Linked DNA regions of Stegostoma tigrinum. The protein of the gene in region 1 interacts with the protein of each later gene in a pairwise test. Links are inferred from orthologs where the notes say so. Each region holds a gene or a part of one and is shown in the gene's direction. Other genes may lie near its edges.

Region 1 (10,270 bases):
GGAGGTGCCAAAGGAGACTAGCAGAAACACTTGAGGGACACATTCAAACCACCCTGAAAAAAGACAAACATAACTGTTGAGTCATGGCAGAACCTGCTTCGTGACTAACCGAAATAAATATGGCATATTTGGTAGGGTACAGAAAACACTAATAGACTTTGTCAAGAGCATGTAGGGGCAAACCTGATGCATCAGTGACAGTGCAACAGCACTGATAATAACCCATCTACCCAAATTTTCAAGGACCACGGGCAGCAGAGATTTCAGATTGCACCTTGGACTTAGCAACCATCCTAAAAACTATCGAACAGAGGAAAAGCAATTCATCCTCAATCCAGAGAGACCAAGCAAAAGGCAGTGCTTAAACAAGATAATTCTGAGTCAACAGATCATACTCCATAAATCAATTGCATTTAATAATACACAGAATAACCTATTTGAGGGAGTTCAACACATGATAATCTCCCAGGCTTTTCCATGCTGAGAATCATTTTGTTGTAATGTTTAACTCTAGTATTGTATCGTAGCCTTCCTAATGAATATTGTCCTCAAGCTTAGCATTTGCAGATCTCTTTGCTTGCCATTTTGTCTGCAGAAATATCAAACAGGTTCTTACCCACGATTTATAATTTGAAGCGCAGCATATCAAATCACTTTGAACAGGCATTGAAAATTGAAAGTTATTCTGGAAATCAGGTGACAACGTACATCTTGAGTGAAAACAGAACTAGCATACAAAAAAAACTTTGATTATTATCTTACCATAAGATTATAAACAGGCATTGAAAATGAACAAAAACAGAACCATTGATAAGACAAAACAGACACTCAGACGGAGATCTGTTACATTCAGAAGTCTATAGTATATCAGCTTCTGAGCAAAGGAGTATTTATTTACGAAAATTTTAGAATTCATAACATCCTGCAAAAAAGTACCAATTGACTATTCAGTGTGGAAATTGTTATTTTAATCATTTTGTCACTTTTAAACAGATGTTGTTACTGTTTTCAATCTTTGTGATGCCCTGCAGCATGGATCTTGGCTCATTGCACTGATTTTCAATAAAAAAACACTCTAAACTGATTGCTAGCATAATTAAGTAGCACGCCTAAGTGATTGCAGTAAATTATTTTTCACTTGCTCTTTGAAATGATCACAGGCGTTAGTATTCTTGTTGTCTTGCACTGCAGTGTCTTGTTATGGCCTATGCACAATGGTTAAAATCAAGCTGCTAAAAATGAATCATGAATGAGAACACAGGATGATTACAGAACAGAAAGAAACCATTTGGCTTGTTGAGTCCATGCCAGTTCTCTGCAAGGCCAGTTTAGCTTGCCCAACTCCCCAATCTTTCCTGTAGCCTACAAACCTTCTTTTCCTGCGTAGAAAGTTTAAATGAGAAAAACAATTGAAATAAATTGTTAACCCATTGAAATATATGACAACTTGATTGAATGTCATAGCTTTAATCTGCTGAGCAAATCAAGATTTGGATGCACTGTTACAGAAGGGTTGGAAAAGTTAACTATTCAGAAAAGTTGCTGGTATACTGCTGTAGATATTGAAAAGCAAACAAGTGTCTCTTATTTTTGTGTTTGTGTGTAAGGTCGTCTTTCAATCATCCTTTTATGCACTTTGCATTGTTTTTACCACCACCAAATCAGCTATGTTTCTAATTAAATGACTAATTAATCAGCACATTATTATTTATAAAAAGTTCATCAATGAAATGAATGAACATTTTTTAAAAAAAAATGATTCTCAATAAATTTGGGTACTTTAGTTCACATGACAGTCTTGCTGCATTCTTGCCAAATGCACTGGAAACTCATGAACTCGTCATTCAACCCAGTTGCTGTTTGTAAATTGCCTATTAACAGCTTTGTTTTATATTATGCAGGATTTTCCTACTCGATATATTTTAACTCTGAAATACCATTTGTTAGTGAGACTATGAACATCCCGGATAGATCTTTTCTCCATTTGTTTATTTGAAGATAATCTTGATATTAAGGCAAGTACTCAGTCTCCAAGTTTAATAATGGACTTGCAACTATGTTGAGCCTTGTCACTTGCTCATAGAAGTTCACAAACAAAGAAATTATTTTTGATGTACAGATCTTATTTTATGGTAGCAAACAATTTTGTGCACAATACAGCAGCATTACCGACTGGCTCAAACGCTAGCCCAAAAACCTCACTGGAGTAGGATGAATAGTAGCCATTATGAGGTGAGTAAAAACATCAGAGATAATGGGAACCGCAGATGCTGGAGATTCCAAGATAATAAAATGTGAGGCTGGATGAACACAGCAGGCCAAGCAGCATCTCAGGAGCACAAAAGCTGACGTTTCGGGCCTAGACCCTTCATAAAAACATCAGTTGTTTTGAGTTGATGGCAGCCAGAAGGGTACTTTGAAGAATCACTAGTCTGACTTCTGTTAAAGACAATTATTTGAGTAATTATTATTTTAATGAAGATTCACTAGAGTTTGCATGAAATGTTTTAGAAATAGTTGTCAGGTAAATTGAAAGAATACATCTGTGTGGATGCTATAGACAAAGAAAATGTTCACTGTCAATACCCTTCAAAATACCTACACAGTCCAATTCCAATGGGCATGTCACTGGACAAACATTGGCTCACAGAAGAAACAGTTGTAATGTTGCTGTCTAACTTGAATCTTAAACAAAGACGGTCAAAGCTCAAGACTGACAATTATCAAGCTATTTTATTTGATGATAGACATTGAAGTTATAATTGGCAGATTGTAAACCTGCCTTTGCAACTCTGGAGAAAATACTTTTCAATATTCTTCCAAGTTCTATGATTAAACAAATTACTAGATCAGACTCTTGAAAAAATTGTATTTACAGTCCTTCACCTGTTCCTTGTGCATGGACAGCCAATCACTAACTGCTACTTAAGTGGGACAGAACTGAAGAATAGGGAAAGCATGCTAAACTTGCATTTTGCTGCAACATTACAAAAAGGATACCGACAAACTAAAAGGGCAAACAGCAGTTTTACAAGGAAGATACGAATCATGAAAGGGTTGAAATGTTGAGACACTCCCTTGTGAAAGAAACATTTTTAGTTTAGAAGTTTTTAGATTGATTAACTGTTTTTATAAAGTGGATTCAGACAGAATCTTTCATTTTTTAGAGGCCATCAAAAATATTGTCACCAAGAAATCCAATAGGAATTCAGAAGAAACTTCTTTGTGAAATGAGTAGTGAGAATGTGGAACTCAGACCACAAAGTGTAGATGAAGTGAAAAATATGCATTCATTTCAAGAGAACCGAGACAAGCATATCAGGGTTAGGGAATAGAGATTTACAATAATAGATTTTGATGAGGAAACATTTGGGGAAGGCACAAGTGCAGCATAAACACTTGCATGAACCCATTGGTCCAATTAATCGTAAGTCAGTACCAAGAAGCTTTAGGTTGTTTTTTCATACCTAGAAATTTTGATTCTGTTAAAGTCTTTAGTGATGAAAATCCTACTTTTAAAGAAATGCTATTGCGACAAAGATAATAATTTGACTGCAAATGGTAATATGATGAACCTGCTAATTTTCCATGGCTGTACTATTTGCACACCGCACAACATATTGGGAAGTCTTGACTCAACAATAATGTAGTTACTGTGATGTTTCATTACGATTCCACTACTCTATTGTAAATGGTTAGTTGCACATTTCTCTTGTGCTGGTTTACTGTAAAATGCACTGGGTGCACTGAGGGCTGTCTTTATACAAATGTGTTAGCAACCAGCAAATTGTCCTTGGATGTCACAGATCAGGTTGTAGACTGACCTCGGGAATTCCTCAGATGTGTGCCAGATGTGTGTGTGACATCTACACAGGTACCATCATATTTGCCAGTAGGTTACACCTTCTCTGACAGAGTTGGATATAAATGGCTAGATTTTTCAGCTGATATTGCAATACAAGTAAAGGAAGAGCAAAGAAAGAACAAATCTTATTACCTGGGGGCAAATTAACCCTTATAATTTAATATGTTTGATATTTACACCCACAGGAGATGGGGTTAACTTCACATATCCGAGTTTGGTTAATCTGCAAGTTATGTGTCCTAATGCTAAACAGGAAAGTACGATGGACTGTAGGTAATTTACGGCCATTAACAAGTGTTTACTTTGCCAAACACAACAGTTTTGCCCATAACAAACAGTATCAACCACAATTCACTTTATTTTACACTATCTTTAGTGAAGCTGTTGTCAAGTTCCATTTTTAACCATACTTCTGGAAAGTACGTTGTTGGAGTTTTTGCTTTCAATCTTTTTTTTGCACTAACTTTATTGCTCCCTACAGGCCAGCCAGGGAACAGCAAGTACAACAATTATGTCAGTTATAACAACGTGTCTTGGGTGTGTATTGCTGCAGGTTTCTTATGGGAATGGACTAGTATCTGCCTAGTTCTGAAGAGTTCTGTAGCGCACTGCACTTATTGTGAGCTCCGAAACTTGCATCTACCTCATCCCGCCTCGTTCATGGAGACAGGCACAATTGTTCAAGGTCGTGCACAGCAGTTGGCACCTGCTGGTCATGTTGCTGCAGGGATTCCTCTTATGGATGTAGTATAATGATTCTTTATTCGCATGCCCTTCCAAAATGGGTATGAATTACCCAGTAAAGGAAATCACAAAAACAGCTGCATTCATAATAGGTAGATTATCTACATAAAATTCTTCCTGATAAAGTCATCCCTTCAGTGGGCGTGGATGGGCTGGCATTACCAGTAGGGAGTGCTCCTTCCTAAAATTCAGTGCAGATAGGCTAGTGTTATCTACACAGGCTTCCCTCCCTACAGTAGAACATAGAACATTACAGCACAGTACAGGCCCTTCGGCCCTCGATGTTGTGCCGACCTGTCATACCGATCTCAAGCCCATCTAACCTACATTATTCCATGTACGTCCATATGCTTATCCAACGACGACTTAAATGTACCTAAAGTTGGCGAATCTACTACCGTTGCAGGCAAAGCGTTCCATTCCCTTACTACTCTGGGTAAAGAAACTCCCTCTGACATCTGTCCTATATCTGACACCCCTCAATTTAAAGCTGTGCCCCCTCGTGCTCGCCGTCACCATCCTAGGAAAAAATGTAGCTGTGTAAAGGCAGGCGTTACATATATGGGATATCCTTTTCCCCAGTTGGACATTACTGGGCTGCTGTTAATGTAGGGACCATCTCTGCTTGAATTGCCTGTTGAGTCTCTCACTACAACTGGCTGTGGATGGGCTGGTGTGACTTTTAGGGAATGTCCTTGCTGGCTGTTATCTATAGGAAGTGTCTCTGCTAACGTTACCTTCAGGGAGTGTCCTTGCGAGCATTACATGTAGGCAGCGTCCCTTCCGGTGTTACCTGTAGTATTTCTCCTACAGTTGGCTGTGAATGGGCTGCTGTGACCTGTATAGGGTGTGTCCCTCGCCGTCACGTCCAGGAGTGAGTCCCAGTGACTGGCCTGCGCTAGTGGGCCGGTGTCCTCGCCCCGCCCACAGCTTCGCGCGCGCGCAGCCCACCTGTGAAGAGGAGCGCGCGCGATGACGGTTGGGGTGTGTGCGCGTTTCCGCGCGGGGGGCGGGGCCCACCCGAACAACGTCGGGGGCGCGCAGGAATCACCTCCTCTTACCGCCGCCTCCAACCCCCGCCTGCCTGTTCCAGACATGGCGGATTACAGGTCCGAGTGGCTCCGGCTGCCGAGTTTCTGGTCGCATGGGGTCACCCGGGACGGACGGATCTTCTTCATCGAGTGAGTACCGGAGGCAGCTGGGCTTTGGCGGATACGGAAAGCTGACATTTGAGTTTATAACTACACTCACCGTGTCTTCTCTCTCTCTCTCTCACATACACACAGTGAAGAAGCGCACAGAACAACCTGGTTACATCCAGCGACCGGCGAGGCCGTCATCAGCGGACACCGCAAAACACCAGGTGGGGAGGTGGAGAGGCAAACCGAACCCCCGCCCCCCCCGCCCCGAACTCAACCTCCGGGACCGGGGCTGGAGAGGACACATCTCCCCACACTCCGACCCCCATCTCCATCCTCGGCACCGCATTCACCCCGACCGTATCCGCACTCCGAGCCCGATACCCGCCTCCACACCCCCCGGATCCCCAGCTCTCCCCCCGGATCCCCAGCTTCCCCCCGCGGATCCCCAGCTTCCCCCCCGGGATCCCCACCTCCCCCCCCTCCCCCCCCTCCCCCCCCGGATCCCCACCTCCCCCCCCTCCCCCCCCTCCCCCCCCGGATCCCCACCTCCACACTCTCTCTCCTCCCCCCCCCGGATCCCCACCTCCACACTCTCTCTCCCACCCCCCCCCCCCGGATCCCCACCGCCTCTCTCTCTCTCTCTCTCCCTCCCTCCCCCCGGATCCCCACCGTCTCTCTCTCTCCCTCCCCCCGGATCCCCACCGTCTCTCTCTCTCCCTCCCCCCGGATCCCCACCGTCTCTCTCTCTCCCTCCCCCCGGATCCCCACCGTCTCTCTCTCTCCCTCCCCCCGGATCCCCACCGTCTCTCTCTCTCTCCCTCCCTCCCCCCGGATCCCCACCGCCTCTCTCTCCCTCCCTCCCCGGATCCCCACCTCCTCTCTCTCCCTCCCTCCCCGGATCCCCACCTCCTCTCTCTCTCTCTCTCCCTCCCCGGATCCCCACCTCCTCTCTCTCTCTCCCTCCCCGGATCCCCACCTCCTCTCTCTCTCTCCCTCCCTCCCTCCCCGGATCCCCACCTCCTCTCTCTCCCTCCCTCCCTCCCTCCCCGGATCCCCACCTCCTCTCCTCTCCCTCCCTCCCCGGATCCCCTCCTCTCTCTCTCTCTCCCTCCCTCCCTCCCTCCCTCCCTCCCCGGATCCCCACCTCCTCTCTCTCTCTCCCTCCCTCCCCGGATCCCCACCTCCTCTCTCTCTCTCCCTCTCTCCCTCCCTCCCTCCCTCCCCGGATCCCCACCTCCTCTCTCTCTCTCTCTCTCTCCCTCCCTCCCTCCCCGGATCCCCACCTCCTCTCTCTCTCTCTCTCTCTCTCTCCCTCCCTCCCTCCCCGGATCCCCACCTCCTCTCTCTCCCCGGATCCCCACCTCCTCTCTCTCCCTCCCTCCCTCCCTCCCCGGATCCCCACCTCCTCTCTCTCTCTCTCCCTCCCTCCCTCCCTCCCCGGATCCCCACCTCCCCTCTCTCTCTCTCTCTCTCTCCCTCCCCGGATCCCCACCTCCTCTCTCTCCCTCCCTCCCCGGATCCCCACCTCCTCTCTCTCCCTCCCTCCCCGGATCCCCACCTCCTCTCTCTCCCTCCCTCCCCGGATCCCCACCTCCTCTCTCTCTCTCCCTCCCCGGATCCCCACCTCCTCTCTCTCTCTCCCTCCCCGGATCCCCACCTCCTCTCTCTCCCTCCCTCCCCGGATCCCCACCTCCTCTCTCTCCCTCCCTCCCCGGATCCCCACCTCCTCTCTCTCCCTCCCTCCCCGGATCCCCACCTCCTCTCTCTCCCTCCCTCCCCGGATCCCCACCTCCTCTCTCTCCCTCCCTCCCCGGATCCCCACCTCCCCTCTCTCTCTCTCTCTCTCTCTCTCTCCCTCCCCGGATCCCCACCTCCCCTCTCTCTCTCTCTCTCTCTCTCTCTCTCTCTCTCCCTCCCTCCCCGGATCCCCACCTCCTCTCTCTCTCTCTCTCTCTCTCTCTCTCTCTCTCTCCCTCCCTCCCCCCCTCCCCGGATCCCCACCTCCTCTCTCTCTCCCTCCCCGGATCCCCACCTTCCTTCCCCCCCCCCCCACTCCCTCCCCCCCTCCCCGGATCCCCACCTCCTCTCTCTCTCCCTCCCCGGATCCCCACCTTCCTTCCCCCCCCCCCACTCCCTCTTTCTCCACTCTCTCCCCCCAATATCCCCACTCCCCCCCCCCCCGATCCCTAGCACCGTCCCCCCCCCGATCCCTAGCACCGTCCCCCCCGATCCCTAGCACCGTTCCCCCCCCGATCCCTAGCACCGTTTCCCCCCCCCGATCCCCAGCACCGTTTCCCCCCCCCGATCCCCAGCACCGTTTCCCCCCCCCCGATCCCCATCTCCCCCCCCCGATCCCCATCTCCGTCCCCCCCCCGATCCCCATCTCCGTCCCCCCCCGATCCCCATCTCCGTCCCCCCCCCCCGATCCCCATCTCCGTCCCCCCCCCCATCCCCATCTCCGTCCCCCCCCCCGATCCCCATCTCCGTCCCCCCCCCCCGATCCCCATCTCCGTCCCCCCCCATCCCCATCTCCGTCCCCCCCCCATCCCCATCTCCGTCCCCCCCCCCCCGATCCCCATCTCCGTCCCCCCCCCCCGATCCCCATCTCCGTCCCCCCCCCCCGATCCCCATCTCCGTCCCCCCCCCCCGATCCCCATCTCCGTCCCCCCCCCCCGATCCCCATCTCCAACCCAATCCCCATCTCCAACCCAATCCCCACATCTTCACTTAAAGCCTGCACCAACCCCCACGACAACCCTGACTCCCATCCCCAACTGTCCTGTCCCATCCCAACCCCTATCCACACATCTCTCTCAACCTTGCCACCTGCCCCCATCCCCATCAGCACATCCCTCTGCCCTCTCACCCCATCCCACCCACAAATCCCTCTCCCCGCTCACCTCGGACCTTCAATCCCCCATTCTTACCTTTTTCCCACTTCCCTGTCTTCACCACCACATCCTGACCCTCCCATCCCCAAATCACATCTCCTCCAACCACATCTCTCCATCTGCGATAATGGGAACTGCAGATGCTGGAGAATCCGAGATAACAAAGTGTGGAGCTGGCTGAACACAGCAGGCCAAGCAGCAGCTTAGGAGTACAAAAGCTGACGTTTCGGGCCTAGACCCTTCCCTTTCTATCTATCTGTCTGTCTGTCTGTCTTCAAGAACGCCCGCCCCCCGCCAGTCACTTCTTGGACATCCCACCTCCAGCTCATTACACCTGCTTCTTCTCTTCCCCCATTTTATTTCCCCCACATCTCTCTGTCCCCCACGTCTGTCTCTCACCCCGAGTCCACATATTTCTCTTAACCCCCTCATCTCGAGCGCTTAATTGCCATTGGAGAAGGATTGGGGAGAGGCAGACTATATGTTCACTACTTGGTCTTCTTAAGTTTTTCCGTCTTTGTTTTCCGCACGGCAGACCTCCCAACCGGTTGGGAAGAAGGATACACCTTCGAAGGGGCTCGATACTACATTAAGTGAGTAACGCAAGAATAGGTTTATGATCCATTGACTTTGTGACGGGCTTTATGCAATCTCTGATAGCTCAGACCATCTTGTACGTACGTTTGTGTGGTCTTTCCAATTGGATACGAGTTTTGTTGGTTGTGTTTGCGACTCTTACGAAGTGTGCCATTTTTAAAAAAAGTTGCAAAGCGTGGATTATGCGTTTGGTGTGAGGTGGGCGTGTCGCATCAGTTTGATTTCGACATCGGTTCCAACAATGCTTTCATTCAAAACTGACGCTAAAACGTCAGACGGAATTTAAACTTGCAGCCAGTCGTTATTCTCAGCCAGGTTTCTAGTGGTTTGTTTACTAGCGGTGACGTGTTCGATTCGGTCATTCTAATTCGGTGATACAGCAACGAACCAACTTTTACCCTTGTTTCATTTCTTCGTTTTAATGCGATCAGTGTTGTTACAATCATTTGTGAAAGAATGGTATTTTTTGTTGTGGGAAAGGGAAGAAAGAGAAAGAAAGCTGGTGTCATCCCTTTTTAGGTATCGATCTATAATTTGCAAATTGTAAGCGCTTGCTACAGATTCTGTGCTTCTAGTGAAGTGACTGTTTGTTTGTTTATTTCTTCGCGTTATCAAGGAAAATCCAAAAAAGAACGTTTGAAAATTGTGACTTATTAAATCAAACTGAGTATGTGCTTAATAGGAATAATTATTTTAATACTGCTCCTCAACTAAGTTGTAGCATCTGTGGTGATTGACCTTTTAAGAGGTAAGTCATGTTAGTAGGTAGTAAATGCTCTACCTTGTGATATAAGTGTGACACACTGTGTGGAAGCCTTCTGATAATTCTATACATAGATCTTAATGATACAGGCAGTTTTATTTTCATACTTAGGCAGCAGAATTCTCAATGGAAAGAAATGTACCTGCCGTTATTATTGATTTCCCATCATGTGAAGTGATTGTTTTTATAGATTATTCGGATTGAGGTCTTACTGAAAGTTTTTGATGCACTTAATTTTATTTTTTCCATTGCTTTAGAGGGCAAAGTA
Region 2 (9,752 bases), on another chromosome or scaffold:
ATGTGTGTCCACGTTGGCCTACCTGACCACCATCAAGGCGGACCTCCTGTTTCTGCAGGAGTGTGGGATACCGCACCTCAGCAGGTACGGGAAATGGTCCGGCGCCTGGACCTGTGGGCCTTCGATCTGGTCGGGGGGGTAACGACTGTCGCTCCTCGGATCTGGCTATTCTGCTGCAGGGGCGCAACTTCACCATCTCTCAAGTTCAGGAGGTGGTGGGGGGGCACCTCCTAGTGGCTGACATCACCTATAGGAACGCTCCCCTGAGGCTGATCAATGTGTACGCCCCAGCGGTACGGAGTGAGCGGTTGGCCGTCCTGCAGCGGCTTCCACCCCTGCTGGCTACGTCCCAGGCCGGTCATCCTAGGCAGAGACTTCAACTGCATCATTGATGCAGATGGAAGATCCGGCGTGGGGACAGCGGGTGGGGGGAGTCAACTGGACATCACGTCCAGATTCCCGATGGGCACGGTGAAGGGCGCCAAGCTGCTCGACGTCTTCAGCACCCCTGCAGACAGAGCGCAGCAGAGGTACACCTGGTCGCGGCCAGACGGGTCTATCCGCTCAAGGATAGACTTCCTGTTTGTGTCACGGACATTCTCGGTCAGGCCCACCGGCGTCGAGCCGGTGTTCTTCTCTGACCACTCCCTCCTGCTGGCCGACTGTCACCTACAGGACGACCAGCCGGCAGGCAAGGGGACGTGGAAGCTCAACACGACTCTGTTGACCCCAGAGAACGTCGAGGAGCTTAAGAGGGAGTACGCCGGTTGGAGAACCGTGAAATCCCTCTGAGTGTCCAGGCGACTGGTGGGAGACGGTGAAGGAGAACATCAAGAGGTTCTTTGCCCTCAAGGGTGTTCAGAAGGCAAGAGAGAGGCGGGGAAAGCTGTCGCAACTCCAGAAAAGGGTGCAGAACCTGCTCCTTCTGCAGTTGATGGGGGTCGATGTCACGGAGGACCTCCGCGAGGTGAGGGGCCAGCAAGCCTCGCTCTTCGCCGCGGAGGCCTCCAGGATAATCTTCCGGTCCAGGGACCGCTCCGTGGAGCAGGACAAGACATGCTTGCGTTTCTTCTTTCAGAAGGTGCACAAAGAGAGCTCTGTGCTTAGCCGGCTGAAGGAGGATGACGGCTCGGTGACGTCGTCGCAGCCCGACATTTTGAGGATCAGCAGATCCTTCTATGCCGGACTGTACGACACGAAGCCCACGGACAGCACGGCCTCCGAGTCGTTCCTGTCGTCTATCACGGAGGTCTTGGACGACGGCACGAGGGAGTGGCTGGACCGGTCGATATCCCTGGACAAGCTGGTCAGAGCCCTCAAGTCCTTGGGGAGGAATAGGACTCCCGGAAGCGATGGCTTACCGGTCGAGCTGTATTCCGCTCTGTGGGGCCTGGTCGGCCAAGACCTGCTGGAGGTGTACGATAGCGCGCTTCGGGCAGGGGAAATGTGCAAGTCCATGAGGAAGGGCATCATCACCCTCATTTACACGAGGAAGGGGGAGAGGGAAGAAATTAAGAATTGGCGTCCCATTTCATTATTGAACGTGGACTACAAAATCCTGGCCAAGGTCATAGCCAACCGGGTCAGGTCTGTCCTAGAGTCAGTGATTCACCCTGACCAAACCTGTGCTGTGCCAGGCAGGAAGATTGCTGAGAGCCTCGCGCTCATCAGGGATACGATCGCCTACGTACAGGACAGGCGGGTGGACACCTGCCTCGTCAGCCTGGACCAGGAGAAGGCCTTCGACAGGGTCTCTCATGCTTACATGAGGGACGTCCTCTCCAAATTGGGGTTCGGGAGGGCATCCGCAATTGGATCCGGCTGCTCTACGCCAACATCGTTAGCGCAGTCTCGATCAACGGGTGGGAATCAGACAGTTTTCCTGTTAGATCTGGAGTCAGGCAGGGCTGCCCGCTCTCTCCTGCCTTGTTCGTGTGCTGTGTGGAGCCCTTCGCCGCCTCCATCAGGAAAGACGTGAGCCTGAAGGGCGTGACTATCCCAGGCAGCGGAGGCCTTCAGGTCAAGACCTCCCTGTACATGGACGATGTCGCCGTCTTCTGCACCGATTGTCGGTCAGTGAGTAGACTGGACATCTGCGGCCAGTTTGAACTGGCCTCGGGTGCCAAAGTCAATAGGGGTAAGAGCAAGGTCATGTTCTTTGGGAACTGGGACGACCGCTCCTTCATCCCCTTCACCGTCAGGACAGACTACCTGAAGGTGCTGGGTGTTTGGTTTGGTGGAGCTGGGGCGTGCACTAAGACTTGGGAGGAGCGTATCACCAAATTGAAGCAGAAGCTGGGCAGGTGGACGCTCCGGTCCCCCTCCATCGCGGGTAAGAACCTGGTTGTCAGGTGCGAGGGGCTTTCGGTACTGTTGTATGTGGCGCAGGCCTGGCCTATTCCCTGGACCTGCGCCGCTGCAGTCACCCGGGCCATCTTCCACTTCATTTGGGGGTCGAGGATGGACCGGGTCCACAGGGACACCATGTACAAAGACCTGGGAAATGGGGGAAAGGGCGTACCGAACGCCACCCTCGCCCTGACGGCTACCTTTGTGTGCGGCTGCATCAAGCTGTGCGTAGATCCTCAGTACGCAAACACCAAGTGTCACTACTTACTGAGGTTCTACCTGTCCCCAGTGTTGCGAAGGATGGGCCTGGCCTCGTTGCCGCGGAACGCTCTGAGTAGTTGGACCGTTCCGTACCACCTGTCCTTCATGGAGAAATTTTTGAAAGGAAACACCTTTGACCGCAAGGCCGTCAGGCAGTGGTCAGCACGTCGTATCCTCGGGACCCTTCGGGAAAAGGAGAGGGTGGATCCCGTCGTGTGGTTCCCCACGCAGACTGCTAAAGTCGTTTGGCAGAATGCCTCATCGCCAGAACTTTCAAACAAGCACAAGGACATTGCTCGGCTGGCGGTGAGAGGGGCTCTGCCAGTGAGATCCTTTATGCATGCCCGGAATCTCTGCACCACCGCACGCTGCCCTCGAGGTGGCTGCGGGGGGGACGAGACTGTCGATCACCTCCTTCTGGAGTGTGCCTATGCGCAGGAGGTCTGGAGGGGGATGCAGTGGTATTTGTCGAGGTTCGTCCCGAGCAGCTCCGTGACGCGGGACTCCGTGCTTTTTAGGGCTGTTTCCGGGGACGCACACCGAGACCAACATCAACTGCGCCTGGAGGACCATCAATGCGGTGAAAGACGCTCTTTGGTCTGCCCGCAACTTACTGGTCTGCCAGCTGAAAGAACTGACCCTGACCGAGTGTTGCAGACTGGCGCACTCCAAGGTCCAGGACTTCGTGCTGAGGGGCGTGCTAAAGCTTGGGGCAGCCGCCGCCAAGGTGCGGTGGGGAAAGACCACGGTATGAAACCCCTCGTCCAGAATAGGAAAAAGAACCCTATCTTGTAACTGGGCCTAGCTGGCGCCTTCTCCAACTGGTCAGGGGGCCAACTGGGACTGTGCGGGGTGACGACTGCCAGGGTGGTTTCTTTGCTTTGTTTTTTGTTTCCTCTGTTTTGTTTTTTCCTTTTAGTTGGTGTACGTACCCCCGGGTAACCCGGAGTGGCTTGCATGACTGGGTAGGTGTATAAATGTTTTTTTTTGTACATTCTATGAATAAAGTATATTTTTTTAAATTTAAAAAAAAGTGACGAAATGTCTGAAAACGAACCTTCCAGCTCAGCGCGCAAACTCACATCCACAATAACTGCTCTGTTAGTCTACCCTCAATCTGGTTCAAAGTGGAGGCAGAGAACAGGGCTACACTATTATAGGAAAGATGTGGATGCTTTGGAGAGGGTTCAGAGGAGGTTTACCAGGATGCTGCCTGGACTGGAGGGCTTATCTTATGAAGAGAGGTTGACTGAGCTCGGTCTCTTTTCATTGGAGAAAAGGAGGAGGAGAGGGGACCTAATTGAGGTATACAAGATAATGAGAGGCATAGATAGAGTTGATAGCCAGAGACTATTTCCCAGGGCAGAAATGGCTAGCACGAGGGGTCATAGTTTTAAGCTGGTTGGTGGAAAGTATAGAGGGGATGTCAGAGGCAGGTTCTTTACGCAGAGAGTTGTGAGAGCATGGAATGCGTTGCCGGCAGCAGTTGTGGAAGCAAGGTCATTGGGGTCATTTAAGAGACTGCTGGACATGTATATGGTCACAGAAATTTGAGGGTGCATACATGAGGATCAATGGTTGGCACAACATTGTGGGCTGAAGGGCCTGTTCTGTGCTGTACTGTTCTATGTTCTATGTGATCTCTTGTCTGAAGCCACTTTCTTTCTTTGTCTTGTTTTTGTTTCCACTCTTTTCTTTTGCTACCATACCAGTGCTGCCAACCAATGTGCCATGGTGGGGGGTGGGGGAAGCATAACAAGGTACATGTGAAGTAGTGGATGTGACTTCTGGCAATAGTTGGTGACATTGAGAACATTCTCCCAGGTGCTCAGAGACAGCAAGGATATTCCCTTGTAACAGAAGGCCAGGGGCAGTGAGTCACTTCTGTCAGCATTCAGGGCCTACGGCAGCAAATCCGTGTGTGTGTGTGTGTGAGAGAGAGAGAGAGAGAGAGATGCTAGCAGCAGTGACCCTGCTAGTGTGCCATCTTGAAATGTGACATCAGGTAAAGTGGGACTTGTAGCCTGACAATGGTGCAAGGTGGTCATGGTTGCAGCGTGAATGTGGGTTAAGTAGGCCCAGTGACAAAGATATGGTGTCTAAAGTGGGGTAACTCCTAGGGTGCTGGTGCTGGGTCTGGCACAGGTTGTGACGAAGGAAGTGATCTCCCTGACAGGTACAGGGTTGGAAAGACTGATATATTCTTAATTTTTTCCTCTGAGTAGAAGGAAGAAAAAAATTAAGAAAAGAAATAATGCTAGACTATTCGTTTTTACTTTTTTTGTTTCCTCTGCGTTTCATCTTAACTATCTGTACTAAAGATGGTGCTGCGAGGCAGCGACTATAAACTTTTCACTACTCATTTAAGTAGTTGTGACAATAAAGCTAATTCAGTTATCAGTAAAATGATAATAAAATGTGAGGCTGGATGAACACAGCAGGCCAAGCAGCATCTCAGGAGCACAAAAGCTGACGTTTCGGGCCTAGACCCTTCATCAGACCCTCTCTGATGAAGGGTCTAGGCCCGAAACGTCAGCTTTTGTGCTCCTGAGATGCTGCTTGGCCTGCTGTGTTCATCCAGCCTCACATTTTATTATCTTGGAATCTCCAGCATCTGCAGTTCCCATTATCTCTGATCAGTAAAATGATGGCAGGTGTTGTCAATAGTGCTGATAAACAGAACTGTGGCCATGAGACCACGTGCCGTGTGAAGTGGCAGTCAATGGAAAGCTTGACAATATTGATGGAAGACTAATATTGTCCACAACAAGCCGGTCGATCCAGGCCCCGCCCCCACACTCAGGCCCCGCCTCCATTCCCTGTATTTTGGTGAAACCGTCACCGCCGAGGTCAAATTGTAGTCACGTGATTAACGGCCGGCTGTGGGTCACTGCGGGTCCTGCACGGAGTGGCGGGGGTATCCCGAGGTAACGGTTAGTTTGTCGTGGCTGTCCTGGTCCTTTTCAGGCTGTGGTCAGCCTCCTGCCCGGAATGATGTTGATCTGAGCTCCAGGCCTTGTTTCCCAGAAATTCGGAAAAAAGTTGCGTTTCGGGAAATTTCCTTTTCGATTCCCGCCTCTTTGCCTTGTTTAGTGCTTTATAAACAAACCCGCGGCGTTACTATGTTTATGTGGCCAGCCCCACTCAGCTTGGAAGATAGGTCATACCCCTCTCGGTATTTCTGATAACTGGCATTAAAGTAAATTTAAATTGCTGCACTTTAACAGGCTGCGGCCTGTGTGCTAGCCGGATTTCTACGCAGATTTTATTTTAAAAAACAAATCGTGGAAACGCTTGCGGCTGTAGAGGGGACAGATTATGCTACTCCTCGGACGTTTTCTGCTGACGAAAATTGAATGTGTACAATAAATTCGAAGAAAGGAAATAGATATTTTAAACGTCAAATTGCTGAAACATCAACTAAAGAACCTGGAATGTGGCGCTTGCAGGAGAAGAAGTAATTCTTTGCTCACTTTGGCTAATTTTAGAATAGGATGTGACATTAAAAGGCCAGGCAACTGACTAAAAATAGTAAATGTAGGTGAGCACAATAAAGGCATAACAGTAGAAATCGAAAGAACTGCAGCTGCTGTAAATCTGAAACAAAAACAGAAATTACTGGAAAAGCTTGGCAGATCTGGCAGCATTTGTGGAGAGAAGTCAGAGTTAATGTTTTGAGTCTGGTGACCCTCAGGACAGAGGGATTTGATGTACACTCTACTGTTTAAGATTTACAGCTTCTGTACTTTTCTTTTGTGTTAATTCATTATTGTTTACCGTTTTGCTATTGATGGAGGGATTACAATGCCAATTAATTTCATAAGAAACTCCTGTGGTTCCTCGACAAAGGAAGTAGGAACAGTAGACTGACCTCTAGCCTACTGCACCATTCAATAGGATTATGGCTGCTCTAACATTCATCACGTCCATGTTCCTGTGTTTTCTCTAAGTGCTTGATTTCCCTACTGATCAAGATCTTAGTCTTAAAACACATGTTAGGACAATGCCCCCACAGCTCTCTGTGGCAAGGATATCCAAAGACACACAGTCCTCTGAGTGAAAAAAGTTCCTCCTCATCCCAGTCTTAATTGATGTTCCTTTATTCTGAGACAATGCACTTTGGTCCCATCTCTCCCATGGAGGACAGTATCCTCTCAGCATTTACCCTGTCAAGTTCCTTTAGAATCCTGGATATTTTATTTTCTGAGTCTTCCAACAAACATTAATCTTCAGATTGTTTTCTCAACATCCTGGAGTTTCTTTAGCATGGAAAACTCAGATCAAAAATGTGAAAGACTGTGAGATAACAAGTTGTAGAGCTGGATGAACACAGCAGGACAAGCAGCAGCTTAGGAGCAGGAAAGCTGATGTTTTGGGCCTAGACCCTTCATCAGAAATGAGGGAGGGGAAGAGGGTTCTGAAATAAATAGGAAGAGAGGGGGGAGGCAGATTGAAGATGGAGTGAGGAGAAGATAGGTGGAGAGGAGACACAAGTCAAACAGGTGAGGATGGAGCCAGTAAAGGTGAGTGTAGGTGGGGAGGTAGGGAGGAGATAGGTTAGTAGGTAGGAAATGGGGGTGCAGCTTGAGGGGGAGAAGGGGATGGGTGAGAGGAAGAACAGGTTAGGGAGGTGGGGACGAGCTGGGCTGGTTTTGGGATGTGGTAGGGGGAGGAGAGATTTTGAAGCTTGTGAAATCCACATTGATACCATTGGGCTGCAGGGCTCCCAAGTGGAATATGAGTTGCTGTTCCTGCAACCTTCGGGTGGCATCGTTGTGGCACTGCAGGAGGCCCAGGATGGACATGTCATCGGAGGAATGGGAGGGGGAGTTGAAATGGTTCGCAACTGGGATGTACAGTTGTTTATTGCGAACCGAGCGTAGGTGTTCTGCAAAGCAGTCCCCAAGCATCCGCTTGGTTTCCCCGATGTAGAGGAGGCCATAACGGGTACAGCAGATGCAGTATACCACGTAAGCAGATGTGCAGGTGAACATCTGCTTGATGTGGAAGGTCTTCTTGGGGTCTGAGATGGGTGTGAGGAAGGAGGTGTGGGAGCAGGTGTAGCACTTCCTGCGGTTGCAGGGAAAAATGCTGAGTGTGGTAGGGCTGGAGGGGAGTGTGGAGCGGACAAGGGAGTCACCTGAGAAAGTGGTCCCTTCGGAAAGCAGACAAGGGTGGGGAGGGAAAAATGTCTTTGGTGGTGGGGTCAGATTGCAGATGGCGGAAATGTCGGAGGATGATGTGTTAGATCCCGACGTTGGTGGGGTGGTATGTGAGGACGAGGGGGATTCTTTTTTAGATTGTTATTGCGGGGACGGGGTGTGAGGGATCAGTTGTGGGAAATGCGGGAGACATGGTTGAGGGCATTCTCGAACACTGCGGGTGGGAAGTTGCAGTCCTTGAAAAATGAGGACATCTGAGATGTGCGGGAGTGGAATGCCTCATCCTGGGAGCAGATGCGGCAGAAGCGAAGGATTGGGAATAGCGGATGGCATTTTTGCAGGAAGGTGGGTGGGAGGAGGTGTATTCTAGGTGGATGTGGGAGTCGGTGGGCTTGAAATGGATATTGGTTTCTTGGTAGTTGCTCGAGCTGGAGACAGACATGTCCAGGAAGGTGAGGGAGTTGCTAGAGATAGTCCAGGTGTGACTTTTGTGGGATGGAGGTCATTGGTATATGTTGAAGAGAGCTGATTTGAGGACTGATCCTTGTGGGAGCATGTGCAGTTATGTGTGGGAAGCTGATTTGATTCGAAGTTTCACATGGAACTGCCTGATCAGGTAGGTGATTAGTTAGAATCCCTATAATGTGGAAGCAGGCTATTCGCCTATCAGATCTACACCAACTCTCCGAAGAGGAGGATCCTACCCAGGCCCCCAACCTGGTAACCCGGCGTTTCCCATGGCCAATTCACTTGGCCTGTATGCTTTGGAGCAATTTAGCCTGGGCAATTCTCCTAACTTGTACATATTTAGATTGTGGGAGGAAGCCCATGCATACATGGCGAACATGCACACTGCATACAGGCAGTCGCCCAAGGGTGAAATTGAAGCCAGGCCCCTGGTGGTGTGAGGCAGCAGTGCTAATCAGTGAGCCATCATGCTGCCCCAAGAGATGCCAGGAGGATGGAAGTAGCTGTAAGGTTTTGGGGAGTTTCAGTAGTCTACCTGTGCCCTGCACTGTCATTGGCACAAGATAACTCACTAAAAACTATTCCTGTCTTCAATCACATCACAAGTGAAGTCTCAGGTATCAATTTTCAAAGAAAATTTGAATAAACTTCAACTGTTTGAGAATGGTCCAGAGAAAATATGGCCACCTACAGCACAAATGAAACAAGGGAAAAGCTCAACTATGGACATCCAAATCAGACTATTGTGCACACACTGAACACCTTCCTTGCGAGATCATTCCTAGTGGCCTCACAGGTATTCATGATGCACTACCTGAAGTCATTGAATTGATTGGTAACCTCAATATCAAACCATAACTGTTTGCCCAGACAAGCAGAAAGGAAATAAAGTAGGGTTATGAAATTCACTTGGCATACTAAGTGCTCAAACAAGGAAATGGAAAATTGAGCAGAATTTGGATGGGCATTTGTCGTTAGGTATCGATTTTGTTCAAATGGTTGCATGGCTGGTTTGTAATGCAGAGTGATACAGATCACATGGGGTTCAATTCGTCCACCAGGTTACGATGGAAGCCTCCTTCTTAGCCTCTCCACTTGCCTGAGACGTGGCAGCCCTCAAATCAAACAATCACTAGTTGTCTCTTTCTGGTGAGAGAACAGCCCTTTAGTCTGGTATGATTGTGGCAACTTTACTTTCAAGTTCTCTCCAGGAAGAACACCACAATTTCTCCAAACTATCCTTGTAACTGAAATACCTCAGCCATTGTTATAAATGTTTTCTGCACTCTCCAATGCATTCAAATCTTTACTACAGCTCAGAACAGTACATGATAGTCTAGTTGAGGTCTAACATTTGGTTTATGCAAGTTCAGCATAACCTCCTTGCTCTTTTGCTCTGTCCGTATTAATAAAGCTCAAGGTACTGTGTCAGTGGGAATTATAAGCTTAGCTCAACCCAGCCCAGCTTTCTGGATAAACCATAAGGTGCCTAATTACACCCAAGTTGAAGGA

Evidence for each region.
Region 2: the proteins of plekha5 (region 1) and pdzd11 interact in binary tests that used the Homo sapiens proteins (3 or more experiments, as listed by UniProt). The two-hybrid records come from large-scale screens. The link is inferred for Stegostoma tigrinum from reciprocal best matches to the Homo sapiens genes PLEKHA5 and PDZD11.

The regions. Positions count from the first base shown.
Region 1 is NC_081378.1:44,335,645-44,345,914, forward strand, and holds the start of plekha5 (pleckstrin homology domain-containing family A member 5), read left to right. Parts: upstream 1-5,704; coding exon 5,705-5,790; exon of another isoform or gene 5,791-5,895; coding exon 5,896-5,972; exon of another isoform or gene 5,973-6,101; intron 6,102-8,437; exon of another isoform or gene 8,438-8,851; intron 8,852-9,177; coding exon 9,178-9,235; intron 9,236-10,270.
Region 2 is NC_081368.1:38,278,443-38,288,194, reverse strand, and holds the start of pdzd11 (PDZ domain-containing protein 11), read left to right. Parts: upstream 1-5,423; 5' UTR 5,424-5,543; intron 5,544-9,752. UniProt on the Homo sapiens protein: Mediates docking of ADAM10 to zonula adherens by interacting with PLEKHA7 which is required for PLEKHA7 to interact with the ADAM10-binding protein TSPAN33.